4 linked regions of the Anolis sagrei genome follow. The protein of the gene in region 4 interacts with the protein of the main gene of each other region in a pairwise test. Links are inferred from orthologs where the notes say so. Each region holds a gene or a part of one and is shown on either strand. Other genes may lie near its edges. The genes, in order: CXH1orf94; TOX4; heat shock transcription factor, Y-linked-like; TBX6.

Region 1 (7,780 bases), on a different chromosome or scaffold from region 4:
CATCATCCATAGTCTGTTCTTCCCCAAACCTCACCAGAATATTGAGTTGGCCATGGGGGCTCTCTGTGCCAAGTTTGGTCTTTATTGGTATTTGGATGAGTGTCGCTGTGGTTTCAGGAAGTGAGTGAAAGTACTGCAAGTCCCATCATCCATAGTCCGTTCTCCCCCAGACCTCACCAGAATATTGAGTTGGTCATGGAGGCTCTCTGTGCCAAGTTTGGTCTTTATTGGTATTTGGATGAGTGTCGCTGTGGTTTCAGGAAGTGAGTGAAGGTACTGCAAGTCCCATCATCCATAGTCTGTTCTCCCCCAAACCTCACCAGAATATTGAGTTGGTCATGGGGGCTCTCTGTGCCAAGTTTGGTCTTTATTGGTATTTGGATGAGTGTCACTGTGGTTTCAGGAAGTGACTGAAGGTACTGCAAGTCCCATCATCCATCGTCTGTCCTCCTTCAAACAGCAAATGGGCAACATATATGAAATGGGTTGAAGAAGGCAAAGCCAGCACAGATATTGTGCAAAGATTTCAAAAGTTGCCTTCATCTAAGCCATTAAAAGAGATGTTTCCTCAATGGTTAAGGTAAGGCAGAAGTGATGGGCTTTATAGAGGAAGGTGAATGGGAGCTGCACATGAATCAAGCATCACTGTGTGACTGGAGACCCAGCAAGCAACTAAATGTTAACATCAGAAATTGTATGTTTGAACTCATTTCAAGCTGTGCCTTCTCTTCATGCTGGCTTGTGACCCCTGGAGCTAATTCAATCCTCAGGCAAAAAAAAAAAGACACCAAAGAAAGCGATACAAACAAACAAACAAACAAGCACCTCCCCTCTTTGCCGTTTCATCCACAAAAGCTGCTGCCTTGAGAGGGTTATTCGATCTTGGGGTTTACTCTCGTATTTTCGTATTTCTGCTGCCGCAGATTAACTAAACATCGTGATCCCCTCAGGAGGTTTTGTATTATTTAAGCACTCACACAACCTATTTAACCTGAGGCAACAGTAGAATGAAAGAAAACCAAGGGGCAAAAAGAGACAACTTTTTTTCTCCTCCCTCTCTATTTGCAGACTGTTTTCCAGTTATGCTCTGCTTTTAAAAATTGCCACACAGAGAAAGATACGCAAAGAAACCTCTTGTTACATCTGCAAATAAAAAAAAGGAAAAAGAGAAGGTTTCCAATAAAATGGGATCTCTGAGCTGGAGGGGGTCACAAGGACCATGTTATTCAGTGGTTCTCAACCTTCCTAATGCCGTGACCCCTTAATACAGTTCCTCATGTTGTGGTGATGCCCAACCATAACATTATTTTCGTTGCGACCAGGGACGGCTCAGCCATTACGCAAAGTAAGCATTCGCAGTATAGTTGATTTTGCCCGGGGGCGCTCTTGAGGCGCTCTTGGGAGAAAATAGACCTTGACATAAGGAAGTTTTACTTACTGGGATGTATAAAAAGGTAAAGATAAAGGTAGTCCCCTGACATTAAGTCCAGTCATGTCTGACTCTGGGGTGTGGTGCTCATCTCCATTTCTAAGCCAAAGAGCCAGCGTTGTCCGTAGACACCTCCAAGGTCATGTGGCAGGCATGACTGCATGGAGCGCCGTTACCTTCCCGCCAGAGCGGTATCTATTGATCTACTCACATTTGCATGTTTTCGATAGTTCACCTAAAACCAAAGAGCATTCTAAACTCCACCAATGATGGAATTGAACCAAATATGGCACACAGAACTCCCATGACGAACAGAAAATATATATCAATGATTGGCTGGGGGGAGAGCACCAAAATACTGTTTGCTTACTGTTGAAAATTACCTAGGGCCGCCTCTGGTTGCGACTTCATAACTATAATTTTGCTACTGTTATGAATCGCACTGTAAATATCTGATATGAGATGTTCATTCACTGGACCAAATTTGGAATAAATATCCAATACACCCAAATCTGAATACTGGTAGGATTGGAGTGGATTGATTTTGTCATTTGGGAGTTGTAATTGCTGGGATTTATAGTTCACCTACAATCAAAGAGCATTTGAACTCCACCAACAATGGAATTGAACTAACCTTGGCTCTCTGAACTCCCATGACCAGCAGAAAATACTGGAAGGGTTTGGCGGACAGTGACCTTGAGTTTGGGAGATGTAGTTCACCTATATCCAGAATGCACCATGGATTTGAAAATGATAGATCTGGACCAAATTTGGCATGGATACTCAATATGCCCAGATGTTAACACTGGTTGAGTTTGGGGAAAATAGATCTCAACATTTGGGAGTTGTAGTTGCTGGGATTTATAGTTCACCTACACTCAAAGAGCATTCTGAACTACATCCAGAGAGCACTGTGGACTCAAACAATGTTGGATCTGGACCAAAATTTGCACAGATACTCAATATGCCCAAATTGAACACTGGTGGATTTTGTGTAACTAGACTTTGACATTTGGGACTTGTAGTATTATTTATTTATTTATTCATTTACTTTGCTTATATACCGCTGTTCTCAGCCCGGGGGCGACTCACAGCGGTGTACAACATAGAAGAACAAAGTTCAAATTCAAGACATAATATAAAATCCACATCCAGCATTAAACAAGAACATCATCATCAAAAACATCATCATTACTACGAAAGCCATTCCGCGTCGTCTCATCGTCCAAACCACAATCCAGTATCATTTCCATTGTTCCAATCCTATAGTCATTACCAATCATTGCACTTCTTGTTCGAATGCCTTTTTGAACAACCAAGTCTTTAATTTCCTGCGGAATATCATCAGGGAAGGAGCCAGTCTGATGTCCACGGGAAGGGTGTTCCACAGTCGAGGAGCCACCACCGAGAAGGCCCTATCTCTCGTCCCCGCCAGCCGTGCCTGTGAAGCAGGCGGGATCGAGAGCAGGGCCTCCCCGGAAGATCTCAAAGTCCTGGTGGGCTCGTAGGTCAAGATGCGGTCGGATAGGTATCCTGGGCCGGAACCATTTAGGGCTTTATAGGCCAACGCCAGCACCTTGAATTGAGCCCGGTAGCAAATCGGCAGCCAGTGGAGCTGGTACAACAAGGGGGTTGTATGCTCCCTGCGTCCTGCTCCTGTTAGTATCATGGCTGCCGCACGTTGGACCAATTGAAGCTTCCGGGCCGTCTTCAATGGCAATCCCACGTAGAGAGCGTTGCAGTAGTCTAAACGGGATGTAACCAGAGCATGGACTACCGTGGCCAAGTCAGATTTCCCAAGGTACGGGCGCAGCTGGCCTAGTAGCTCAGATTTATAGTTCACCTTCAATCCAAGAACATTCTGAACCCCACCAATGATAGAACTGGGCCAAATTTCCCACACAGAATCTCCATGACTAACAGAAAATACTTTGTTTTCTGATGATCTTTAGTGACCCCTCTCACCCCCCACCCCCACGATCCCCCTCCCTGGTTCCCAAACCCCCAGGTTGAGAAACGTTGATGTAGTTCAACCCTTTGTGAGGTAGAAATGGACAACTATAGCATTCCTCAAAGATGCCCATTCCACCTCTGTATTAAGACCTCCAAAGATGGAGAGTCTACCACTGTCAAGAATGCTGAACAACAAAGACCTTGTCCTCCTTTTCTCAAGCTGATACATCTGGAACACATCACATTGCCATCAGAAACATTCTTTTCCTTTTTGCTAACTCTTGTGTGTATAAACATACAGAGTTGTGAGGCCAGAAACACCCCGTGTCCTAGGATCTCCACTATCAGACAGCTCTTCCAATCAAGACATTCTCAATGTTTCTCAACTTCCTTTCTTTTATTTTCAATGTATTGGTTCATGTTCTAGGCACCAAAGAGGCAGAAAAACAAGCTCACTCCATCTTCTACATGACATCCCATTGGATACTTAAAGATTGCTTTCCTATCATCTCTCCATTTTCTCTTGTCCAAGTGAAGCACACCCAACTCCCTATGTTGGAGGCACCACCCAACTTTCTCTTCTTCTAACCAGACCAGAGACGGTCCTTTGGTTTCAGGTTTTGATCATAGATTTTGGAGCATAGGATATTCTTGACTTAAAAACTCTGTATTTTTATATACACAAGAGCCAAGAAAGAAAGAAAGAAAGAAAGAAAGAAAGAAAGAAAGAAAGAAAGAAATGCTTCTGATGGCAACACCTTTCCATGTATAGGAGCCCTAGGTGGTACAGTGGGTTAAACCCCTGTGCTGGCAGGACTGAAGACCAACAGGCCGCAGGTTCGAATCCGGGGAGAGTGCGGATGAGCTCCCTCTGTCAACTCCAGCTCCTCATGTGGGGACATGAGAGAAGCCTCCCACAAGGATGGTAAAAAACATTAAAAAAATTCCAGGCATCACCTAGGCAACGTCCTTGCAGACAGCCAATTCTTTCACACCAGAAGTGACTTGCAGTTTCTCAAGTCGCTCCTGACATGACAAAAAAAATATCTTTCCAGGTGATGTGTTCCAGATATGCCAGTTGGAGGAAGGAGAGCAAGATCTTTCTCCCTCAGTGTCCTTCAGAGCAAGCAAAGTCTCCCCTTCCGTCTACTGCTGTTGAAGTTTGATGATCTATTACAGTTTTTATTCTTTATGTCAGTTAAGTTACCATGTCGCAAGGGTTCTATGGTTACTTAGCTACCAGAGTTTGTTTCCATATGCTCCATTCTGTACCATCTTTTTTTAAAAAAAGAAAGAAAATAAGGCAAGCAACATAAGTATCTCAGGAAGGTGTGTGGACACCCTTCCTGTTTGTTTATTCAATTTTCATTCTAGCCATTAGTGGGCAAGATACGATGCTGTCAAGTAGGAGCAGCCTTCAGTGTTCAACAACCAACCCCAAGGGCAGTTTTCCATTAGGCCCTTTCCCAAGACACATTTGGATCCATCACAATACGCCTCAGGACAGTTTGGATAAAGCTTGCCATGAGATCTGGAAAAGAGTCCAAGGTCTCCCGGAGGAACTCCAACCCAGGTCCTCATCACCACTTCTCCAAGTGAGCTGCCACCCCATTCCATCTTCTGAGGCCCTCCAAGAGGATAACAGTAGTACCAGCAGCAGCTCCCAAAAGGAGTGAGTGCAATGCTTTTAATCTTGTTTGTTTTTGAGTATTTTGAACATGCAAAAAGTATACCTGAATGGTTGGCAATGGAGAAGATGGATCCATAAGAAAGCAGAGGCTGTAGTTTCGTTACTTTAACCTTTATTTATTTATTTATTTATTTATTATTTAAACTTATATGTCGCCACTCCCCTGGGGCTCGGAGCGGCTTACAAGAATAGCTAAAATCTAACAAAGTTTAAAAGCAATTTAAAACAATTTAAAAACAACAGTATCAAACATTAAAAGCCTGTCGGAACAGGTATGTCTTACATGCCCTGCGGAAAGCTGGTAAGTCCCGCAGGGCACGAACTTCGGGTGGCAGAGCATTCCAGAGTGATGGTGCCACTGCTGTGAAGGCTCTGCGTCTGGTTGCCCTTAAACGCAAGGTCTTGACACTGGGGACTTCCAATAGATCTTGGTCCTCAGAACGGAGGGATCTCTGGGGTTGGTAGGGGGTGAGACGATCCTTCAGATACATTGGCCCCAGACCATGCAAGGCCTTAAAGGTGAGTACCATCACTTTGAAAGTGATCCAGTGCTCAATTGGTAACCAATGCAGCTGTAGTAAGATTGGTGTTATGTGGCATCTCATCGGAATTCCCGCAAGAAGCCGAGCAGCTGCGTTTTGTACCAACTTGAGCTTCCGAATCACCGACAGAGGGAGGCCAATGTAGAGGGCATTACAGTAGTCCAGTCTTGAGATGACTGTGGCCTGGATCACCGTAGCTAGGTCGTCCCTGGACAGGTAGGGGGCCAGCCGCCTAGCCTGCCACAGGTGAAAGAAGGCAGTTCTGCTCACGGCGGATACCTGGGCCTCCATTGTCAGCAGAGGGTCCAAAAGGACTCCCAGACTCTTTACCAATGATGACGGGCGTAACGCCTCGCCATCCAGGGTGGGCAGATGGATGTCCCCCCTGCCTGGTCCACCCAGCCATAGGATCTCCGTCTTTGCTGGATTCACCCTCAACCTGCTGGCACGCAGCCATCCAGTAACGGCCTCGAGGCACTGATGGAAATAATCAGGTACAGAGTTCGGTCGGCCTTCCATCTTCAGCACCAGCTGAGTGTCATCGGCATACTGATAACACTCAAGCCCAAAACCTCGAACCAGCTGAGCAAGTGGTCGCATATAGATGTTAAACAACAGAGGGGAGAGAATGCCCCCCTGAGGAACCCCACAAGATAGAGGGGACCTCTCAGAGACCAGGCCTCCCCTCTCCACTCGCTGTCCATGGTTGTGAAGAAAGGAGGACAGCCAGTTTAAAGCTGTCCCCCTGATTCCAGCAACAGCAAGGCGGTGGGTCAAGAGATTGTGGTCGACTGTGTCAAATGCTGCTGTGAGATCCAATAGCACAAGCAGCGCTGACCCGCCCTGGTCAAGCTGGCATCGAAGGTGATCCGTGATGGAGACCAGCATAGTCTCTGTCCCATGCCCCACACGGAAGCCGGATTGGAAGGGATCTAGTCCGGCTGTGTCGCCTAGGAATTGCTGCAACTGCTCCGCTGCTGCCCTCTCAATCACCTTGCCCAGGAATGAGAGATTTGAAACTGGGCGGTAACTGGAGGGAACTGAGGGATCTAAATCTGGTTTCTTCAGCAAAGGAGAGACCACTGCCTCTTTTTAGTGGTCCGGACTCCACATATTGGGAGATAGGTCAATCAATCAATCAATTAATCAAAAATATTTTCACCCTAAAGATAACTCATTCCTCTGGCTCCATCCCACTTAATTACTGTTGGAGAATGGTTGCCTTCAAGTCACTTCTGATCAAAAAAGATCATCTTCATCCATCTAGATTCCATGACAATATTAACTTGAAGGCTAGAATACTAAATACATCTATTTATTGATATATTGATACAAGATGTGTGCTGTTTTGCATTCTAGTTGAAAATGTAAGCCCTGAAAATGTAAATAATGGGTTTGAGTAGCATCAAGTATAGCACACAAATCTGTGTGTATTGTAGGATGTGTGTATGTGTGTCATGAATAACTTTTCAATAACTTTAAAGCTTTTTATTGTAATTTCCAGTATGAGAGAGGATATATCAGAACTTTTACAGAACTTTTATACTTTTACACAAAGAATGACATTGGACATACAGATTCTACGCAACTACATTGAATTCACAAACAACCTACAGTTATATTGGCTAACAAGCAAAGAAGAATTAAATTTTTACTCAACATTCACACCACATGTACATGCATCCATCCTCATGAATCCAAATATTATCACATCCTTTTCTCCCTCCTTGGAGAAGCAGCTGCTTAGGCCAGGACCTGCTTCCCTGCAGCCTGTCAACGCACAGTTCCAAAACCTTCATAATGTCAAAATTCTTGTTCAACAGCTACACAAATGACCATCCACTGCCAGAAGGGACAGAGTTTCATCTATGCTGATGATCGTGCCATCACCGCTCAAGCAACATTCACACCTAGTATTGTCGAAGGCTTTCATGGCCGGAATCACTGGGTTGTTGTAGGTTTTTCTGGACTATATGGCCATGTTCTGGAGGCAATCTTTCTCCTGACGTTTCGCCTGCATCTATGGCAAGCATCCTCAGAGGTAGTGAGGTCTGTTGGAAGTAGGAAAAATGGGTTTATATATCCGTGGAATGACCAGGGTGAGACAAAGGACTTTTGTCTGCTGGGGCTAGGTGTGAATGTTTCAGCTGATCACCTTGATTAGCA
Region 2 (7,920 bases), about 6.5 Mb from region 4:
CCAGAAGCTCTGGCCAGCTTATCCAATGATCAGGAATTGAGGGAGTTGAGGTCCAAAACACATGGAGGGCCACAGGTTTGACACCAGTGGTTTAAAGCAAGAGTGGACTTCTGCCACCAGCTTTCAACAGGGGCTGGATGGCCATCTGTCAGGGATACTTTGATTGTTTTTCCTGCATGGAAGGGGGGTTGGACTAGATGGCCCATGTGGTCTTCTCCAACTCTATTATTCTATGATGTTGTTGAACTATGATTATCAGCATTTTTAGCCAATGTAGAAAATAGCAAGGAGTGTTAGAACTGTCCCAATATCTCAATATTGTGAGTGGATTTTTTTAAAGGGCAGAATGAAGCCACATCTTTATATGGATTTTCACATTAACATGTAAATGCTCAAATCAGGAGCAAATTTGATTGAGTCCACCACTTAGACCCACACAAACCGTAATATAGGCAGAAAGATTATAACCTGAAGAACCAAAGTGTCCAAAAGTTTGGAAGCTAAGCATGTTTAACTTGGGAGGAAAGAAGGCCAAGAGGAAACACGACAGCCATGTTTAAACATCTGAAAGTAGGTCACCTTGAAAAGAGGTGACATCTCCCCTCTCCTCAGGGCAGGTTTGTTTTCTGCTGGTCTATAAACTAGGACACAATGGAGCAATGGCTTCAAATTACAGGAAAAGAGATCCCACCTAAACCTTAGGAAGAACTTCCTGGCAGGAAGAGCTGTTTGGCAGTGGAATATCCTGCTGCCTGAGAGTGTGGTGGAGTCACCTTCTCTGGAGGTAGATGGCCATTTGTCAAGAGGGCTTTGATGGTGTTTCCCACCTGGCAGAATAGGTGTAGACTGGGTGACCCTTGGGGTCTCTTTACATTCTGATTCTGTTAACTGCTCATATATTACATTTTGGGTTTGATTAATTGTGAACAGTGCGATTTCTTTTTGTGCTTTTGAACAGATGTTTGAATGTTTCTTATGAGTGAAAAGGTGCTTTGAACAGAAAACTTCAACCTCTTTCTTATTATTTCCTCTCTGATATATGGAAGTAAAAAGTTTACTGCAGGCCTGCACAACCAAGAGGAGATTCCATCTGAACATGAGGAAGAACTTCCTGACTGTGAGAGCCGTTCAGCAGTGGAACTCTCTGCCTTGGAGTGTGGTGGAGGCTCCTTCTTTGGAAGTTTTTAAACAGAGGCTGGATGGCCATCTGTCAGGGGTGATTTGAATGCAATATTCCTGCTTCTTGGCAGAATGGGGTTGGACTGGATGGCCCATGAGGTCTCTTCCAACTCTTTGATTCTATGATTCTAGGGCTCTTCAGGCATTTGGGACTCCACCTCTTAGAAGCCCAGAGTGTCCAATGATCAGGAATTCTGGGAGGTGAAGTGCACATTTATACATATCCTGGTCTACATACTGGAATCATACAGTCCTGTTGGTTGTCGAAAGTCAATTCATATTTAAATGCTTTTTAGCTGCTAGTTTAATTATGTGAAGATGGGTTTCTGTGTTTTCTGGGCTGTACTATGGCCATGTTCCAGAAGCATTCTCTCCTGATGTTTCACCCACATCTATGGAAGGCATCCTCAGAGGTTCTGAGGTCTGCTGGAAACTCAACAACCTCTGAGGATGCCTGCCATAGATGTGAGCGAAATGTCAGGAAAGAATGCTTCTGGAATATGGCCATAGAGCCAGGAAAACTCACAGCAACCCAGTGATTCCAGCCATGAAAGCCTTCGACATATGTGGTAAATGTTTATGAGGTATCATATTTAGTTTATTTAAGTCATTTAATTTTGATAATGTTTGTTCGTTTGGATTAGCTATTATAAGTTTTATATTGCGATTCTTTTGTTTATCTGTTTGTGTGTTGTTGAAAAAGATCTTGGAGTCCTCATGGACAGCAAGTTAAACATGAGCCAACAACGTCATGCGGCGGCAAAAAAAGCCAATGAGATTTTGGCCTGCATCAATAGGAGCATAGTGACTAGATCCAGGGAAGTCATGCTACCCCTCTATTCTGCCTTGGTTAGACCACATCTCAAATACTGTGTCTAATTCTGGGCACCACAATTGAAGAGAGATATTGACAAGCTGGAATGTGTCCAGAGAAGGGCGACTAAAATGATCAAGGGTCTGGAGAACAAGCCCTATGAGGAGTGGCTTAAAGAGCTAGGCATGTTTTAGCCTGAAGAAGAGAAGACTGAGAGGAGATAGCCATGTATAAATATGTGAGGGGAAGTCATAGGGAGGAGGGAGAAAGCTTTTTTTCTGCTGCCCTGAAGACTAGGACGTGGAGCAATGGCTTCAAACTACAGGAAACTAACTGTGAGAGCTGTTCAGCAGTGGAAATCTCTACCCCAAAGTGTGGTGGAAGCTCCATCTTTGGAGGATTTTAAACAGAGGCTGGATGGGTTGGGAGTGCTTTGAACGTGACTGTCCTGCTTTTTGGCAAGGGGCTGGACTGGATGTCCCAGGAGGTCTCTTCCAACTCTGTGATTCTGATTCTCTGTTGGCACTGAACGTTTGCCTCTTTTATTAGAAACCACCCTGAGTCCCCCAGGAGAGATAAGGCGGGTGATAAATCAAGTATTATTTCTACTGAAGTCCAAAACAGCCGAAAGGCCACAGGCTATGCAGGCCTGGTTTACTGTAACTAAATATCAGAAAATAAAAAAGTTGAAGCAGTGTGTGTGTGTGTGTGGGGGGGGGGGGGGGAGATATGAACTTTGTGATGAAGCATTTAAAAAAAAAACTTGCGAAGGCCAAATCCTTCTAAAACAGGCATGGGTCAACTTGGGCCCTGTGATATTATGATAGCTGGGTCTGGAAGCTCTGAGCTCCTGCAAAGGCAGCTGTGAATAAGGGAAGAGAGGGGGCAGAGTGAGAGCGGGGAGAGCAAAGGAAGGATGGAAAGGAGGGGACGTTTAGTGTAAGGGTTAGGGAAAGATTTAGGGTTTGGGTTACGGTTAGGGTAAGGTTTAGGGTTAGGGTAAGGGTTTGAGTAAGGGGTTAGGCTTAGGCTTATGGTATGGTTAGGGTTTCACCATTAAAGAACTGGTGATAGTATGATAGCTGGGTCTGGAAGCTCCAAGCGTTATGGAGATGCTGCAAAGAGGGCTGTGAATAAGGGAAGAGAGGAGGCGGAGTGAGAGCGGGGAATGCAAAGTAAGGATAGAAAGGAGGGGATGCTTAGTGTAAGGGTTAGGGCAAGATTTAGGGTTATGATTAGGGTACGGTTTAGGGTTTGGGTTAGGTTTAGGCTATGGTAAGGCTTTGGGTAAGGGATTAGGCTTAGGCTTACCATACGGTTCAGGGTTAGGGTTTCACCATTAAAGAACAGGTGATGGTATGATAGCTGGGTCCGGAAGCTCCGAGCGTTACGGAGATGCAGCAAAGGCGATTGTGAATAAGGGAAGGGGGGGGGGGGGTGGAGAGAGAATGCTGCAATGCTGGTTTGGGATTATGATTAGGGTACGGTTTTGTGTTTGGTTTCATGTTAGGGTAAGGTTTAGGCTAAGGAAAGGGTTTGGATAAGGGATTAGGTTTACTGTATGGTTCTGGGTTAGGGTTTCACCATTAAAGAACTGGTGGTAGTATGATAGCTGGGTCCGGAAGCACCGAGCGTTACGGAGATGTCGCAAAGGTGGTTGTGAATAAAGGAAGGGGGGTGGGGAGAGCGAAGGAAGGATAGAAAGAAGGGGACGCTTAGGGTAATGGTTTGGGTTAGTTAGGGTATGGTTTAGGGATTGGGTTTTCGTAAGGTCAGGCTTAGGGTAAGGGGTTAGGCTTAGGGTACAGGTTAGGGTAAAGTTTAGGGTTTGGGTAAGGGGTTAGGCTTAGGGTACAGGTTAGGGTAAAGTTTAGGGTTTAGGTAAGGGGTTAGGCTTAGGGTACAGGTTAGGGTAAAGTTTAGAGTTAGGCTTAGGGTACAGGTTAGGGTAAGGTGTTAGGCTCAGGATACAGGTTAAGGTTTGGGTAACAGGTTAGGCTTACTGTATGGTTCAGAGTAAGGGTTTCACCATTAAAGAACTCTTACATCCCTTCTATATTTGTCTCCGGCATGGCTTACATTAGGTAAGTCTCTCTTGTGCAAACAGCACTCCCGATACGTAATGCTCGGAGCTTCCGGACCCAGCTATCATACTATTACCTTGGGCCCTTGGGGTGTTTTGGACTTCAACTCCCACCATTCCTAACAGCCTCGGGCCCTTTCCTTTCCCCCCTCAGCCGCTTAAGCAGGCCCTCCGCCCCTCCCATACCCGAGTCCCCGATGACGATGTATTTGAACAGGTAGGCGTAGGCCATGGCTGCCGGGAGCCCCTGAGAACGAGGCGGGAGGGGGCCTCCACGGGCCGCTTTCGCTCACGCCACGGGAACTCTGCCTACTCCTCTCGCGCTTCCTATTTCAAAGCCGTGGCTCTGACCCGCCCTCTTCCTTCCCGGCGCTTGGCTTCTTCCCTTTCCGGTGCCTTCTCCTTCATGACGGCAGCCCCTGGTGGACTTCCGGCGGCACTCTAGGGCATCTCTTCTGGGCCGCCTCTATTCCTCCTTGTGTTGACTCCGCCCACTCCTTTGGTCTTCTTCGGACTGGCTGCTCTATTGCGTCACATCCGGGGGGAGAGGGGAAAGGGAACGCCGAGCTCCAGCCTCGAAGCCGTTACTTAGACTCTTTGACGTCACATCCGGGAAATGCCGAAAGCGCTCTCCTGCCTGAGAATGGCAGCGCGCGCGGCCCTCCGGCCTCCCTTTCTCCCTCAGTCGCCTTAACGGTCCGAACGAGTGAGGAAGGCAGAGCGAGGCCGCGACTCCCGCAGGGAAACACGGCCTCCCTCCTCTCACCGCAGGGAAGGAAGAGTTAAGGCCGCCACAGGAAAGGGCCGTGTGCAAAACGTCGGGCGGAAGTGACGTTCCCTGCCGGCCTTCGTTTGGGTGGGCGGAAGAGGCGGAAGAGGCTTCCGTTTCCGGGAGAGGCACTGGAGGGGGAGGAGGAGGGGGAGAGAGAGTCGAGCGGGGTCTCCCCGCTCTCCCTGCTCTGGAGCTTCCTTCGCCGCGGCCATGGAGGTGAGGGGGCCTCGGGGAAGGGGAGAGGGCCTCCCAGGGGCCGTTTGAGTGTCTGTCTCGTTACTGCCTCCACCTATGCACTCCTATGGACTCCTCTTCCTTGAAACCAGCATGGGTGGAAGCCCCACGCATTCATCCATTCATTCAGACAGGGCGAATCCAGTGAGGACGAATACAGGTTGACTATCCCTTGTCTGAAATGTATTTGGAATTTACTTCTAGTCCCTAACATTTCAGACAAGGGATAGTCAACCTTTATTCCTCCCCACTGGATTCGCCCTGTCTGAATGAATGCATGGGACCAGAAGTATTTGGAATTTCATAGATCGATAAATCGTAAATATGCATACATACATATCTTACGGACTTGGGAATTCATAAGGCTTTCCCCCGACATGTAAGGGATCAGGATTCCTCAGTTCATCTTGATTACTTTTCATCTTTAGGTTATTGTGGGTTTTTCCGGGCTATATGGCCATGTTCTAGAGGCATTTTCTCCTGATGTTTCGCCTGCGTCTATGGCAAGCATCCTCAGAGATAGTGAGGTCTGTTGGAATTAGGAAAATGGGTTAATATATCTGTGGAATGACTGGGGTGGGGCAAAGAGCTCTTCTCTGCTGGAATCAAGGAACATGGAAGGCACTGCAGACTATTTCAACCAGAGAAATCAGCCATAGCAGAGCACCTGATGAACCAGCCTGGACACAGCATATTATTTGAGAACACAGAAATGCTGGACCACTCCAACAACCACCATGTCAGACTACACAGAGAAGCCATTGAAATCTACAAGGATGTATTTGGAATTTACTTCTGGTCCCTAACATTTCAGACAAGGGATGTTGTTGTTCATTCGTTCAGTCGTCTCCGACTCTTCGTGACCTCCTGGACCAGCCCACGCCAGAGCTCCCTGTCGGCTGTCACCACCCCCAGCTCCTTCAAGGTCAGTCCAGTCACTTCAAGGATGCCATCCATCCATCTTGCCCTTGGTTGGCCCCTCTTCCTTTTGCCTTCCACTTTCCCCAGCATAATTGTCTTCTCTAGGCTTTGCTGTCTCCTCATGATGTGGCCAAAGTACTTCAACTTTGTCTCTAGTATCCTTTCCTCCAATGAGCAGTCGGGCTTTATTTCCTGGAGGATGGACTGGTTGGATCTTCTCGCAGTCCAAGGCACTCTCAGAACTTTCCTCCAGCACCACAGCTCTAAAGCATCTATCTTCCTTCGCTCAGCCTTCCCTAAGGTCCAGCTCTCACATCCGTAGGTTTCTACAGGGAATACCATGGCTTTGACTAGGCGGATCTTTGTTGCCAGTGTGATGTCTCTACTCTTTACTATTTTATCGAGACTGGACATTGCTCTCCTCCCAAGAAGTAAGCGTCTTCTGATTTCCTGGCCACAGTCTGCATCTGCAGTAATATTTGCACCTAGAAATACAAAGTCTGTCACGGCCTCCACATTTTCTCCCTCTATTTTCCAGTTGTCAATCATTCTTGCTGCCATAATCTTGGTTTTTTTGATGTTTAGCTGCAACCCAGCTTTTGCACTTTCTTCTTTCACCTTGATTAGAAGGCTCCTCAGCTCCTCCTCGCTTTTGGCCATCAGAGTGGTGTCATCTGCATATCTGAGGTTGTTAATGTTTCTTCCAGCAATTTTCACCCCAGCTTTGCATTCATCAAGCCCCGCACATCCTCGCATGATGTGTTCTGCATACAAGTTCAATAGGTTGGGTGAGAGTATGCAGCCTTGCCGTACGCCTTTCCCAATCTTGAACCAGTCTGTTGTTCCGTGGTCAGTTCTTACTGTTGCTACTTGGTCCTTGTACAGATTCCTCAGGAGAGAGACAAGGTGGCTTGGGATGCCCATCCCACCAAGAGCTTGCCACAATTTATTATGATCCACACAGTCAAAGGCCTTGACAAGGGATAGTCAACCTTTATTCCTCCCCACTGGATTCGCCCTGTCTGAATGAATGCATGGGACCAGAAGTATTTGGAATTTCATAGATCGATAAATCGTAAATATGCATACATACATATCTTATGGACTTGGGAATTCATAAGGTAAAGGTTTTCCCCTGCCATGTAGGGATCCGAGTTCCTCACTTCATCTTGATTACTTCTCATCTTCCTTGGAAACAGGTTCATATGGTAAAGGTAAAGGTTTCCCTTGACATTTAAGTCTAGTCGTGTCCGACTCTTGGTTGTTGGTGCTCATCTCCAATTTTTAGCCGAACAGCTGGTGTTGTCCGTAGACACCTCCAAGGTCATGTGGCCAGCATGACTGCATGGATCGCCGTTACTTCACTTCTTTGCTTCACTTCATTTTATTTCTTAATTAGTCGCTCTCCACCAAGGTGCTCCAAGCGACTTACAATTTAAAATAGCATTTCACAATATAAAACATTCAACATAAAAACCTTTAGCAGTGACTATTTGGCAAATTTGATCTGATTACTTAAATGCACAACCAAACAGCCAAGTCTTGGGTGCTTTTACAAAAGGTCCCAACTCCGACATTGCTCTAACATATGGAGGCAATGAGTTCCACAACATTGGAGAATAGATTGAAAAAGCTCTACCTTTCCGCAAGAGCGGTACTAATTGATCTACTCATATTTGCATGGTTTTGATCTGCTGGGTTGGCAGAAGCTGGGCCTAACAGCGGGAACTCTTGCCACTCCCCAGATTTAAACCTGCAACCTTTTGGTAAGCAAGTTCAGCAGCTCAGCGGTTTAACCCACTGTGCCACCTGGGGAATTTATATCTATACATAATAAGGTACTTTGGAGAACCAGAACACAGAACACAAAATCCAATGGGGCTCAGTACAGATAGAGCATGCACAGGCAAATTTCAC
Region 3 (7,648 bases), on a different chromosome or scaffold from region 4:
AAGAACTCAACAGGTTCCTGGACCATCTGAACAGCATCCACCCAAACATATGGTTCAGAGATGTGGATGACACCTTCACCATTTGGAGTCATGGAGAAGAAGAACTCAACAGGTTCCTGGACCATCTGAACAGCATCCACCCAAACATATGGTTCAGAGATGTGGATGACACCTTCACCATTTGGAGCCATGGAGAAGAAGAACTCAACAGGTTCCTGGACCATCTGAACAGCATCCACCCAAACATATGGTTCAGAGATGTGGATGACACCTTCACCATTTGGAGCCATGGAGAAGAAGAACTCAACAGGTTCCTGGACCATCTGAACAGCATCCACCCAAACATATGGTTCAGAGATGTGGATGACACCTTCACCATTTGGAGGCATGGAGGAGAAGAACTCAACAGGTTCCTGGACCATCTGAACAGCATCCACCCAAACATATGGTTCAGAGATGTGGATGACACCTTCACCATTTGGAGCCATGGAGAAGAAGAACTCAACAGGTTCCTGGACCATCTGAACAGCATCCACCCAAACATATGGTTCAGAGATGTGGATGACACCTTCACCATTTGGAGTCATGGAGAAGAAGAACTCAACAGGTTCCTGGACCATCTGAACAGCATCCACCCAAACATATGGTTCAGAGATGTGGATGACACCTTCACCATTTGGAGTCATGGAGAAGAAGAACTCAACAGGTTCCTGGACCATCTGAACAGCATCCACCCAAACATATGGTTCAGAGATGTGGATGACACCTTCACCATTTGGAGTCATGGAGAAGAAGAACTCAACAGGTTCCTGGACCATCTCAACAGCATCCACCCAAACATCCAGTTCACCATGGAAAAAGAAAATGGAGGAAGACGGCCTTTTCTAGATGTCCTAGTCATCCGCAAACCAGATCAACAATTGGGTCACACCGTTTACAGAAAACCCACACACACAGATAGAGATCTACACAAAAACTCCAACCATCACCCAAGTCAACAAAGAAGCCCCATTAAAGCCTTGGCAGATTCTGCCAAGAAGAATCTGTGAAGCCCACCTCCTCCAAGATGAACTGAACCACCTCAGATGGGCTCTCCAGGCCAAGCGAGACTCCACCTCAGACATCAGAAGAGCTGCAAGGCCACCGAGAAGAAGCCACGAGAGTCAAGACAGAGACCCACCCAGAGGGAAAGTGTTCCTGCCAGACATCAAGGGAACCACTGACCGCAGAGGGAAGCTGATGAGGAAACACAACCTACAAACCATCTCCAGACCCACCAAGAACATCCAACCAATGCTCCGTTCAGCAAAGGACAAGAGGGATCCTCTCACCTCTGCAGGAGTCTACCATGTACCATGCAGCTGTGGACAAGAAGTCTCCAGAGGGACCACCAAACGCAGCAGCATTGCCCAACATACACATCAAGGAACATGAAAAGCACTGCAGACTACGTCAACCAGAGAAGTCAGCCATAGCAGAGCACCTGAGGAACCAACCTGGACACAGCAGATTATTGGAGAACACAGAAATGCTGGAGCACACCAACAACCACCATGTCAGACTACACAGAGAAGCCATTGAAATCCACAAGCATGTGGACAATTTCAACAAAATCTGGCTCCCAGTATTAAAAAAAACTCTAAAATTAGAATAGCAAAACTACAGAGAGGAAACAAACAAGGACATCTAATCACCTCTCAAGAAAAGATTGCCCCAGGCACCGCCAGACCTTCAAATGCTAATCGAGGTGGTCAGTTGAAACATTCACCCCTAGCTCCAGCAGACAAGAGTCCTTTGTCCCACCCTGGTCACCATTCCACAGATATATAAATCCTTTTTCCTCGTTCCAACAGACCTCACTACCTCTGAGGATGCTTGCCATAGATGCAGGCGAAACGTCAGGAGAAAATGCCTCTAGAACATGGCCATATACAACCTACAACAACCCAGTGATTCCAGCCATGAAAGCCTTCGACATTGTTTGCAAATGCCGGCCTCGTTTTGGTGGAACAGGATGGATGGGGCTGTAGGCATGAAGGATCAGAACTTGTTGGATTGATTCGGGTTGTCTTCTACTCGGAGCGGAACCTCTTTGAGTGTCCTCTTCTGCCCTCGAAGGAGATGGAGATCTATATTTTGAGAGAGCGCGTGGACGTGCCCTTGGGGAACCCGAGGCGCCCGGGGTCCGTCCCCAAAGCCACGGCCAGACCTTACCTTGCTGAAGGCGTAGGCCGCCTTTTCTTCGGCCAAGAATTCCACAAGGGAGGCCGATCTCTGGAAGTTCTGCCTCATCTTGCTGAAGCCGTAGAGGTTGAGCTGTCGGATGAAGCTCTTCATGCAATCCGTTTCGAAAATGCGCAGGGGACCCTTCCTCTCCAGGACCTCTTTCTTGAAGAGCTCCTCGTCGATCACGACGCACGTCCCGTCCTCGTCCCACCACAGGGACTTGAAGTGCTCGCTCTCCACAATCTTCCAGAGCTTTTTGGGGAAGGTGAGGGAGAGGAAGTCGCTGTCCTCGAGAGAGCCGTCGTCGCAGAGGGAGAGCCGGGGTCTCTTTGGCCAGGGAGCGTCGCTCAGCGCTTGGAAGGCATTCTCCTCGATCATGGACCTCAAGGCCGAGTCGCCAGCCGCCGTCTTGTCGTGCAGCGGAGTCGAGGAAAGGGAGATGGCGGAGTGGATCCTGTCCTCTTCGGCTTGGCCAGGAGGAAGGTCCAGGTCCTGGTCGCCCTTGTCGCTCAGGTAGCTCTTCTCAGCTGCAGCCATGGGCGCTCTGAGTCCAGCCTTGCCAAGAAGGCAGCATCAGGCCTACTAAAAAGGAGGACAGCCTGCCAGGAGCTGGAGCTACAATCAAGAGTTCCAGAACGTCACAATCAGACCCATCCTGTGTCGGTGTGACATCACAAAACGAACTCTGGTTTCCTAGCAAATGAAGCCATAATGAGGGGAACATCACTGGGAACATCACTCGGCGCACCCTCACTCAACCAAGGAGGCTCTGAGGGTCAAGCATTGGCTTCTTCAAACAATGGTCCAGACCCATTGCATTTGAAATCGAACTCGAGGCATGAGGAAGTGACCAATCCTGCTCATGTTATTGGTTACGAAATGAGTCTTAATAATAGTAATAATAATAACACTTTATTTGTACCCCGCTACCATCTCCCCAAGGGACTCGGTGCGGCTTACATGAGGCCAATAATAATAATAATAACAACAACAACAACAACAACACTTTATTTGTACCCCGCTACCATCTCCCCAAGGGACTCGGTGCAGCTTACATGAGGCCAATAATAATAATAATAATAATAATAATAATAATAATAATAATAATCTTCATTTGTACCCCACTACCATCTCCCCAAGGGACTCGGTGCGGCTTACATGAGGCCAATAATAATAATAATAATAATAATAACAACAACAACAACAACAACACTTTATTTTACCATCTCCCCAAGGGACTCGGTGCGGCTTACATTAGGCCAATAATAATAATAATAATAATAATCTTTATTTGTACCCCGCTACCTTCTCCCCAAGGGACTTGGTGTGGCTTACATGAGGCCGTACCCGAATACAACAATACAAGCAATAACAACAGTACAAGCAATTAAAAATAAAATAAAAACATAGGCAATAAACATACAACATTACCAATAAGACAACATACAATTAAAACTGGGAAGGCCAAGTGTAAAATTAAAATTGGAAATAATGCTGGAACATGGGCGAAAAGGTGATAGTGGCGTTTGTGGAAGACATACGAGCAGATCTAAAAATGTAAAGTGCTTTGGAGGGACAAAGTGCTATGGGATCATTATTCCGGGAAGGCACACTGGAACATCCACATCTTCAAGTTCCTCCTTTCGACTTGGGGCATGCCTGATGTCCTTAGGAAGTGAGTTCCAGAGTCGAGGGGCCACCACCGAAAAGGCCCTATCCCTCATCCCCACCAATCACGCTTGCGATGGAGGTGGGATCGTAAGTAGAGCCTCTCCAGATGAACGAAGAGATACGTGTGGGTTCGTACACAGAGATGCAGTCGCGTAGGTAGGCGGGTCCCAAACCGTTCAGGGATTTGTAGGTGAGCACCTGCACCTTGAATTGGGTCCGGAAAATGAATGGCAGCCAATGGAGCTCCTTAAACAGGAGGGTTGACCGCTCCCTGTAAGGAGCACCAGTTAACAACCTGGCCACCTCCCACTGGACCAGTTGAAATTTCCAGTCCGTTTTCAAGGGCAGCCCCATGTAGAGTGCAAAGAAAGGGAAAGAAAGAAGGAGGGAAGGAAGGAGAAAAAACAAAAAGGAAGGAAAGGAGGAGGGAAGGAAGGAAGGGGAAAAAAAGAAAAGGAAGGAAAGAGAGAGGAAGGAAGGAAGGAAGGAAGGAAGGAAGGAAGGAAGGAAGGAAGGAAGGAAGGAAGGAAGGAAAGAAAGAAAGAAAGAAAGAAAGGAGGAGGGAAGGAAGGAGAGAAAGAAAAGAAAGCGGGAGGGAAGGTTGGCCACAGCAACCTGTGGCAGGTCCAGCTAGTGTGAGAAATAACATGGACACCCAACTTCAAAGCCTTTGAAGAGACCTTTTCATGGGCTCCCAGAGTTGTGGCACAACCTGTTTTCCTTCTTCACTTCAGTAAGTGCTGTGCCAATATATTGTAGATCCAAGCATGGCACAGTGTTTTGACTGAATTTGAACACTGTCATTTGGAACCCAAGGATGACAGGGAATGCATTTCCCATTTTCCTGCCAAACAGATAGATATTCCAACCAGCGAAACTCCATCATGAATTGTAAGTATATTCCCAATAAACGAAAGCATTGCAAGACGTACTCGGGAACAAAGAAGGGTCGGCTCATCAAGGATTCCAGGAGGATACTTTTTATTCAACAGCCAAAAGTGGGGGGATGAGAAACAGGTATTATTACCCAGGGTTTTGCACTTTAACAAAAGTGGGAAACCATCCCCTCCTCCTCCTTCCCCTCTCGACAATACAAAGAATGTGGCCGTTTACACAATAATTTACATACCTTTATCCAGGCAATTGGATCCCTTAAGAGGGGAGGAACTTCCAAGTCCTACCTGCGGACATGTTTCGAAGACGGCGCTCCTAGTTCCGTGCGAGGAGGACAAGGCAAGCATGCGGGTGGGACATCACATGGCTGTGCGACGCCAACAGAAACAGATGAACACAAAGCACGTCATTCACAATCGATGATGCACTTCACGCAGCCTTTTAAAAATACTTTTGCATATTTATACTGTACAGACTCTTAAAAATATATTACATTGCCAAAGGTTCATATAAATACTATACAGGCAAGCGTGAATCCAAGGTTCCCAAAGAGGAGCCCTCCTCGTCCGCCGAAATCCAGTCCAGAGTGACATGTGCATGAAGGCCACTGGTTTCAGCCGGTCTTGCCCACATGGAACTGTGGACACAGATGAGAAGAAAGGAAACGGTGACATGGGACAAAAGTTCCACCAATTCTGATCAGGACCTTGACACGCCTGAGCCTGAGCTTACATGTCGCCTTCTCATTGATTTTCCTGCCATGGTAACAGAAATGACCTGAAGACAAATCTCCGTGATCTCCACGTTACAAGCCACTGAGGCACACACCACGATTCATAACAAAAGAAAGGCATGAGATAAAAACGCGCTGGCCGCTGGTTCCCGGTCGTTTCCACAACGGGAAGAGTCCACGCAGGCGCCTCCGAGGGGACACTTAGTCGGGCATGTCGATGTTGAGCTTGGGAGGCGGGATGACGTACTTCCCAGGACTCTGCGTAATAACCACCCCCGTCTTTTTCCGAAACATCGGAGCGATTTTGGGAGGTTCGGGGATGGGCGTCTCTTCCGCCTCGTCGTTGTCTTCGTGGTGCAGGTCGTAGGAAATGTTGCCGTACTCTCGGAGGAAGGGGAAGATTTCCAGGAGGAATTGGCAGAAGTCCTTGCGGATTCCAAACCACCCTGCGCCGCGTTTCCAAAACAAGAAAAAGGGGGAGGTCATTGAGAGTGTCAATCCACAGAAAAAAGTGGCCAACCCCACAATGCCTTGCAACCCCACATAGGGAAAAAACACGTCCAATTGTCTCCTGCATGTGTCACCAGTTGGGGACCCCCCCCCCCATCACCACCATCTTGTCTCTTGTGCTATGCTAATCTATATATATATAAATGTTCTGTGCATAATGAGTTCCCTAAAAACAAAAGAACCAATAAACAAAATCCCACCAAATTTGGCAACAAAACGTCTCACAACACAAGGAGTGACCATCACTCAAAAAATTAGGATTTTGTCATTTGGGAGTTGTAGTTGCTGGGATTTATAGTTCACCTATAATCAAAGAGCATTCTGGACTCCACCAACAATGGAATGGAACCAAACTTGGGACACAGGACTCCCATGACCAACAGAAAATACTGGAAAGGTTCGGAGGGCATTGACCTTGAGTTTGGGCATTGTATCACCTATCTCCAGTGAGCACTGTGGACTCAAACAATGATGGATCTGGACCAAACTTAGCACTAATACTCAATATGCCCAAAAATAAACACAGATGGAGTTTGGGGGAAATAAACCTTGACATTTGGGAGTTGTAGTTGCTGGGATTTATAGTTCACCTATAATCAAAGAGCATTCTGGACTCTACCAACGATGGAATTGAACCAAATTTGGCACACAGAACTCCCATGACCAACAGAAAACACTAGAAGGGTTTGGTAGGCATTGACCTTGAGTTTTGGAGTTGTAGTTCACCTACATCTAGAGAGCACTGTGGACTCAAACAATGATGGATCTGGACCAAACTTGGCACGAATACTCAATATGCCCAAATATAAACACAGATGGAGTTTGGGGGAAATAGACCTTGACATTTGGGAGTTGTAGTTGTAGTTGGGATTTATAGTTCACCTACAATCACAGGTCATTCTGAACCCGCCAGACGATAGAATTGGGCCAAACCTCCCACACAGAACCCCCATGACCACCAGAGTGGGCCACAGCAACACGTGGCAGGGGATGGCTAGTAATCTATATAAATAAAACTGTAATGTTCATTTGTGGGATTAACAGAACTCAAAAACCACTGGACGAATTGACACCAAATTTGGACACAAGACACCTAACAACCCAATGTATGTCCTTCACTCATAAAAACACTGAAAAAAAACAGCAGAAGGGACTTAAAAAGCCCCAAAAAGCTAAATGACGAAAAGCTAAATGACAATACAAAAAAAGGGAAGAAAGAGGGAGGGAAGGGGAGGAAAAAACAAAGAAAGAAAGAAAAGAAAGAGGGAGGGAAGGAACGAATGAAGGAAAGGGAGAAGGAAGAAAGGAGAGAAAGAGGGAAGGAAAGAAAAAAGGGAAAGAAGGAAGGAAAGAGGGAGCGAAGGAAGGGGGAAGATGTAGGGAAAGAGGGAGGGAAAGAAAGAAGGAAAGGGAGGAGGAAGCATGGAAGCAGAGAGAAGGAAGGAAAGAGGTAGAGAAGGAAGAAAGAAGAGAAAGAGGGAGGGAAAGAAGAAGGAGGAAGGAAGGAAAGAGATAGAGAAGGAAGGAGAGAAGGAAAGAAAAAAGGGAAAGAAGGAAGGAAAGAGGGAGCGAAGGAAGGGGGAAGATGTAGAGAAAGAGGGGGGAAGTAAAGAA
Region 4 (7,042 bases):
CAAATGGCATATGTTGAGTTGTTGAATATTAAAGATGTGTAGATTATTTTGTCCCCACAACAGCTTGTGGAGGAAGGAAATATTATATTGTTATGTTCTCTTTGCCTGTTTCACTGCAGATATTTACTAAAATGTTGGAAATAAAGCTTTAAAAAAGGTGTAAGTTAAATTTCCCTATCTTCTAGGTCAGTGGTTCTCAACCTGTGGGTTTCTAGGTGTTTTGGCTTACAACTTCCAGAAATCCCAGCCAGATTACCAGCTGTTATGATATCTGGGAGTTGAAGCGTAAAACATCTGGGGACACGCACAGGCTGAGAACTGCTGTTCTAGGGATATGTTTCAGGTCTTTTTAATGTTTCTATTCTTAAATTTTTGCTCAGAGTTGTGCCTCATTTTCCTCAAATGAATTGGAGGGGTGAAAATACATTCTTCATAAATTCAGAAGCTTTGGCTTCAAATACTTCTGATACATGGCATTGAGGAGGGGTTCCAGAGGACAGGTTAAGATCAGTAATTTTCATTCTTATTGCTGCTTGGCATCTCACCTGCCTGCTTTGGTGATGATCATCTCTGTGCCAATGCTACTGAAACGTTTCCAAAGCTCACCATTCTCCAAGCTCATCCGTATTCCAGGGGGTAAACATGGTGTTGGTGGGGGACCAGATGGGAGAGCCTGGCCTGACCCATAAGGGTGGGCAGGACCTGGAGGCAAGAGGCGGCCTGGAGGTTCCAAGGCAGGGAAGAAGCTATCCAACTTCGGGGCAGCATCAAGATCTGAAGGCAAGGAAGAGAACACAATAAGTCAGACAAACAGTGAATGGCATTGAGAGGTATTGGCTGAGTAGTAAGGAACAGAGGAAGGAGGAGGGTTACAGACAGCACCACGGAGTATCATCTAGGAATTTGTCACCCTCCTGCTGTTTTTCTCCTGTTTTCTCTTCCTCTATCCTATTCGCCTGACCAGTTGGCCTTGGGTGCTAAAACTCCAGCTGATGGGGGCATGTGGGTGGTGGTCCTTAGCGAAGCAAGCAATGGAATTTATGTGAATTCTACATTTTACCCTTTTGCTATCCAAGTCCTGGCCTCCCACTAGCTTGTGGAAACCAGTGGTTGTTTCTCTCCCAAGGATACTACTGTATTCTCATCTATCCTTTTGGTCAACTCTCTATTTGGATTTTCTCTAGCCTTTTCAAATGTGCATTTCATACCCCCCACCCACTCCTCAATTTAAATCACCCCTGGCTATCAACCAGCCCATCCTATCCAACCCTCTCTGACAATCCTGCAGTCTTGACTTCCAGGACTCTTTTTTAACCCCACTACCCTCCTGACAAATTGTGGGAGTTGAAGTCTAAAACACCTGGAAGTCTGAAGTTTTCCTATGACTGTACAGACCTCATCACACTAGAGAAGGAATCCACTTTAAATCTGGTTTCTGCCTCTTGCAGAATTCTGGGGTTTGTAGTTTCGTCAGGCTGTTAAAGGCTCCTCACTAAACTACAAACCACAGAATTCTGCAAGAGGCAGAAACCAAATTTAAAGTGGTTTCATTCTCTAGTGTGATGAAGTAGTAAAAGTACAGAACTCCAGTCCTTAGGGCTACAAAGATAGGCCACAGTAATGGGGGATATATGTTTAGAAGATTTCTACTAATCCAGATATTGAGATGTAGCAGACAGCATAGATTCCTTGCCTTTTCTGATGACTGATGAAAGTAAATCCCTAAATCCATTGGTTAACCTTGGCCGACGTACACGCAATGCATCCATTGTTAATGGGCAAATCGGCATTTCATAAAGTGAATCTGTCCTGGTTGGATTTCGGCCAAAACAAATTCTACATAATTGTGGGAGTTGAAGTCTCAAACACCTGGAGGTCTGAAGTTTGCCCATGCCTGTATTAAAAGGACAGAACTCCAGTCCTTAGGGCTACAAAGGTAGACTGCAGCAATGAGGAATATATGTTTAGAAAAACTTCTAATAATCCAGATATTGGGATGTAGCAATATGCTCTCTTGACAAATCTGCCCTCCTTTTTAACCCTGCTGCCCTCCTGACAAATTGTTGGAATTGAAGTCTCAAATGCCTGGAGGGCTGACGTTTGCTCATGCCTGTAGAGTTGGAGTTTGTAGTCCACACCATTACTTTTATGTAGTAGACAACATTCCTTTCCCCTTTCACGTACAAATACCTTAGAAGTTTTGGATTATATTCCATCCTGTAAGAAAGTGATGATTATTTCCACTTCTTAATGCCTCAATATAAAAAAGCCCATTCTGGATTCTAAGAAATTCCAGAAGTTACAGTTCTCAATTTTCTCATTTCCAATAGCATAGGAATCTTAGATTTCATCCTTTTGTCCATTTTATTATGTAACAATTTTTATCTGATCCTGGGTTGCTGTGAGTTTTCCAGGCTGTATGGCCATGTTCCAGAAGCATTCTCTCCTGACGTTTCACACACATCTGTGGCAGGCATCCTCAGAGGTTGAGGGGTCTGTTGGAAACAAAGTAAGTGAGGTTTCCAGCATGTGGGTAAAACGTCAGGAGATAATGCTTCTGTTACATGGCCATACAGCCCGGAAAACTCACAACAACCCAGTGATTTCAGCTATGAAAGCCTTGGACAACACATTTATCTTATCCTTCTTGCAAAGAACTCAGGAAATCAGACATTGTCTTCCTGACACTCCATTTGCTTTCACAAATAAGTTAAACCAGACAACGTAATAGTTATGTAGATGTCATTGAGGCCAATCAATGGTGAAAATATCCATTAAAATACACATTTCTGCCTTCATTCCATTCACTCTGTCTCCCTTGTTCCTGTTCTTCATTTCCCTCCCGCTCTCCCACCACCACCACTTCCCAATTTCTCACCTGGGTATCTGAAGGCTTCATACTGGGGTGCCTGACTCTGAGGATACCCAGTCCCAGGAGGTGGGGGAGGCCGCAGAGGGTAAGAGCCTCCATACTGTGAGAACATCTCTGAGGGGTGATACATGGGATGCTGAAGGAAATCTGGGAGCCAGAACTCTTGGATTTTTTGGAGGGACTGGGGACCCTACTGGATTAGAACAGGTGAGGGAAGCAAGCTAAAACAGGAAGCTAGGACTTCTGCCTTCTGTGGCAAGGAGAAAGGTCTAAGGATTAGAAGAATGAGACTGATGGGCTCCTGGGGAATAATGGAATATGATTTTTGGAATAGGGATAGGGAAAGAAAGCCTGCTGGGTTAAGATCTGGGAGCTGGGTTTCCTTGGTCCTATCTTGTGAGCAAGTCTGGGATGCATCCACCTCGAGCTCCCCTCTCTTCCTGAGGAGCCCCTGACTGGGGCTGTATTTATGATTCCGCTAAAGCTCTTTGAAGTGAGACCCCAAATGGCACATTCGCACCTCTAGAGGGGAGGGGTTTGGGGCTGAAGGCAGGGGAGTTGGAGGAGATGAGTAGCATATATTCTCAGTCCCAGGATGTCCTATCCTTACTCACCTTCTAGCTATTTCTAGCAATATCCCTCTATTTCATCCAACTTCCGCCTATTTCACCCCTAGTCTGAGTGCCCTCACATAAGTAGTTGTCTTCAGTATCCAAGACATTGCATATCAGCCCAATCCAAATATGCCAGTCCTAGCCCACCCCCTCCCTATGCCAGGCTCCCCAACTCCATCTCAGACTTCATTAAGAGTGTCGGCCGAGTCTCTTTCTGTGCCCACCACTTGAATCCTCCTAATTGCCTAATTAACACCCTGATTCCAAAGTTTCCTGATTGATCCTGACCTATGGGATCCTTGGTTTTACAAGTGGGTGATGGGGGGAGGTGCCATGGTCATTTATCATCCAGATGTTTTCACAGCTGGGTAGGACAGCTGCAAGAGACTGCCAAATCCTGAGAGTGGAGATTGGGGCCTAGTGAGTTATAGCCACATTTGCAGTTGGGAAGATACCTGGTTCCCTTTAACCTCATAATACAACAATTTAAAATTCCAATTGGTCTAATTTAGTCCTATCAGGAGGTTATATTATCATATTCTTGGATAATTATTTTCAGCAGAATAGCAAGAAAGTACTATGATGCCAGCTATGGGAAGTGCAACCGTAGTCAAATTCAGCATGCCTTACATTGAATATCTCTATGCGAGGAATCAAATTGTGTAAAGTAGTGGCTTCATAATCAAAATAACAAAGAAAAATTGGTAGAAATCTACATTTTGATACTTCATGTGCTTTTAATGTTATCTCAGTGATACTAAGGGCTAGAAATGTGGTTTCTGCAAACAAAAAGTGAGGAATTTTGGACTAAGACCATGTCATTTTCACTTGTGCATGAATATTATATGTCCAGTGCTTTCAACCAGCATGATCAAGGGTCTGGAGAACAAGCCCCATGAGGAGCGGCTTAAAGAGCTGGGCATGTTTAGCCTGCAGAAGAGAAGGCTGAGATGAGACATGATGAGGACTATATATAAATATGTGAGGGGAAGTCATAGGGAGGAGGGAGCAAGCTTGTTTTCTGTTGCCCTGGAGACTAGGATGTGGAACAATGGCTTCAAACTACAGAAAAGAAGATACCACCTGAACATTAGGAAGAACATCCTAACAGTGAGAGCTGTTCAGCAGTGAAACTCTCTGCCCCAGAGTGTGGTGGAGACTCCTTCTTTGGAGGCTTTTAAACAGAGGCTGGATGGCCATCTGTCAGTGGTGCTTTGAATGCAATTTTCTTGCTTCTTGGTAGGGGGGTTGGACTGGATGGCCCACAAGGTCTCTTCCAACGCTATGATTCTGTTTCTATCTCTTATCACCAAAGGAATACCAGTTGTTAGTAATTAGGGAGTGGGCAACTGGTGGAAATAGCTTGTATGTACATACAGGCCCGTAGCTAGGATTTCATTTCGGGGGGGGCTAAAAAATTTTCAGGGGGGGTTTCGGGGGGGGGGGCTGAGTTTCGGGGGGGGCTGAGTCTGAGTGAAAGAGGGTCTAGCCTAGCAAACCTTTTGTATCATTACCCCAATACCCCCATACATATGGGATATATTGAGAATGGTGATCAAATCATGATATTAATAAACATAACAGTTTAAATAATGCACCAGTAAGGCCTTTTCGCGAACCACCGTGAGAATTTCGGGGGGGGCTGAAGCCCCCCGAGCCCCCCCCCTGGCTACATGCCTGTGTACATAGAGGTGTACACATTCGTCAGGCAATCAAAGAAAAACCTGTATATGTTGTCACAACTTGATGAGCAGTATAGAAGGAAAATTAGATATATAATTGGGAGCTAAAACAAGACCAAAATTTAATATTATTTAATTGTGTTGAACTACATGACATGGTCTACACTGACCATAATGCAGTCAAACTGCATCATGTGGCGTGTAGATATAGTCTCAATTAACTGTTCATCCATTTATCATTATTGTAAGGTATGTGCACGCCCCCTTGTGTTGCTTTAGAGGAATGCCCAGTAAAAGGAGAAATTTGGATTCTTAGGTTCAAGGATGAGCTTCCAACCCATAATCTTCACTTCTTATCTTTGGTATTCTTGCGGTGGGGTTAAAGGTATGCAGGAAGGTGGATACATTTATCTCCTTCCACTTAATTTCAATTTACTTATCGTGTCAGAAGTGAGTTGAAGGTACAGGTAAAATGCATTTGAAAACACAAACAAAATTATAAAGCACTTGGCATTATCCTAAATGTTTTTTGGTTAGAAGCTGACCACTTGGAGTTCCTCTGGTGTCGCTGTGAGAATGACCCCCATTGTGCATGCAGCAGGGCTTAGGTTGCATTATAGTAGGTGATCTGTGGTTTGCTCTTCTGCACACTCGCATGTCGTGGACTCCACTTTGTAGCCCAATTTCTTAAGGTTGACAGAGCGCAGCCTGCTCAGTGCCTTTTAGGTCACCCAGTCTTCTGTGTGCTTCGAGGGAGTTTCTCACCTGGTCTCAGCCACTGATTGAGGTGCTGGGTTTCAACCTGCCATTTTTGGACTCTCACTTGCTGAGGTGTTTCTGCAAGAGTCTCTGTAGATCTTAGGGTGCTGTTTCTTGATGTAAGGCATTGACGTGCTGGCTGATATCCAAACAGAGGATGGGCCAGAGATGTCAATGCCTTGGTCCTTTCATTGCTGGCGACTACTTCCCGGTGGATGTCAGGTGGTGCAATACCAGCTAAACAGTGTAATTTCTCCAGTGTTATGGGCCGTAGACATCCTGTGATGATGCAGAATGTCTCATTAAGAGCCACATCCACTGTTTTAACATGGTGAGATGTTTTCCACACTGAATTTAAATGAAGATGAAGTGTGGAAGAGGTCTTATATTACTTAGATCTATGTTAAAAATGCAGAGTAAATATATTTAGAGCATGTTGCCGGTGGCACAGTGGGTTAAAGCACTGAGCTGCTGAACTTGTTGATTGAAAGGTCGCAGGTTCAAATCTGGGGAGCAGCATGAGCTCCCGCTGTCAGCCCCAGCTTCTGTCAACTTAGCAGTTCGAAAACATGCAAATTTGAGTAGATCAATAAGGACTGGAACTCTGGTGGGAAGGTAACGGTGCTCCATGCAGTCATGCCGGCCACATGACCTTGGAGGTGTCTATGGACAATGCCAGCTCTTCGGCTTAGAAATGGAGATGAGCACCAACCCCCAGAGTTGGACACGACTGGATTTAATGTCCAGGGAAAACCTTTGCCTATGTTGTCAACACATTTTCCCATAATGCCTGTAAATTCCAATATCAGTGAAAGGGGTCCCATTTTCATTATTTCCCCTACTTATTTACATTAAAGGCAGATATGTATAGCTGTGAAGCAACTGGATGCCGGGATAGTTTTCTCTTTCTTCTTGGGGTGGAGGACGGGAGCAATCTCTGTTTGGGTTTCTTCCATGATTCTCTCTCTGTCCTCCATCCACTTCAAAATAACTCTCCTGTTGCTCTTGTTTTTTGTGCATTTGGGATGCAACAAAAATCAATCTTGGCCTAAGGCAAAGCCGTATGCATCTCTTAGGATAGGAAAGGTTTCTCTTCATGCATGATTGCAGTAGAA

Evidence for each region.
Region 1: the proteins of TBX6 (region 4) and CXH1orf94 interact in binary tests that used the Homo sapiens proteins (3 or more experiments, as listed by UniProt). The link is inferred for Anolis sagrei from reciprocal best matches to the Homo sapiens genes TBX6 and C1orf94.
Region 2: the proteins of TBX6 (region 4) and TOX4 interact in binary tests that used the Homo sapiens proteins (3 or more experiments, as listed by UniProt). The link is inferred for Anolis sagrei from reciprocal best matches to the Homo sapiens genes TBX6 and TOX4.
Region 3: the proteins of TBX6 (region 4) and heat shock transcription factor, Y-linked-like interact in binary tests that used the Homo sapiens proteins (3 or more experiments, as listed by UniProt). The link is inferred for Anolis sagrei from reciprocal best matches to the Homo sapiens genes TBX6 and HSFY1.

What each region holds. Positions count from the first base shown.
Region 1 is NC_090034.1:68,093,634-68,101,413, forward strand, and holds the start of CXH1orf94 (uncharacterized protein C1orf94 homolog), read left to right. Parts: upstream 1-4,776; coding exon 4,777-5,054; intron 5,055-7,780.
Region 2 is NC_090026.1:10,955,382-10,963,301, reverse strand, and holds the start of TOX4 (TOX high mobility group box family member 4), read left to right. Parts: upstream 1-4,913; 5' UTR 4,914-5,058; coding exon 5,059-5,064; intron 5,065-7,920. Other genes in the region: RAB2B (ras-related protein Rab-2B), read right to left, coding at 4,263-4,308. UniProt on the Homo sapiens protein: Transcription factor that modulates cell fate reprogramming from the somatic state to the pluripotent and neuronal fate. In liver, controls the expression of hormone-regulated gluconeogenic genes such as G6PC1 and PCK1.
Region 3 is NC_090030.1:36,551,573-36,559,220, forward strand, and holds the start of heat shock transcription factor, Y-linked-like, read right to left. Parts: upstream 3,012-7,648; 5' UTR 2,764-3,011; coding exon 2,215-2,763; intron 1-2,214. Other genes in the region: TMEM185A (transmembrane protein 185A), read right to left, coding at 5,726-5,970.
Region 4 is NC_090026.1:17,496,550-17,503,591, forward strand, and holds the start of TBX6 (T-box transcription factor TBX6), read right to left. Parts: upstream 3,003-7,042; coding exon 2,879-3,002; intron 775-2,878; coding exon 546-774; intron 1-545. UniProt on the Homo sapiens protein: T-box transcription factor that plays an essential role in the determination of the fate of axial stem cells: neural vs mesodermal. Acts in part by down-regulating, a specific enhancer (N1) of SOX2, to inhibit neural development.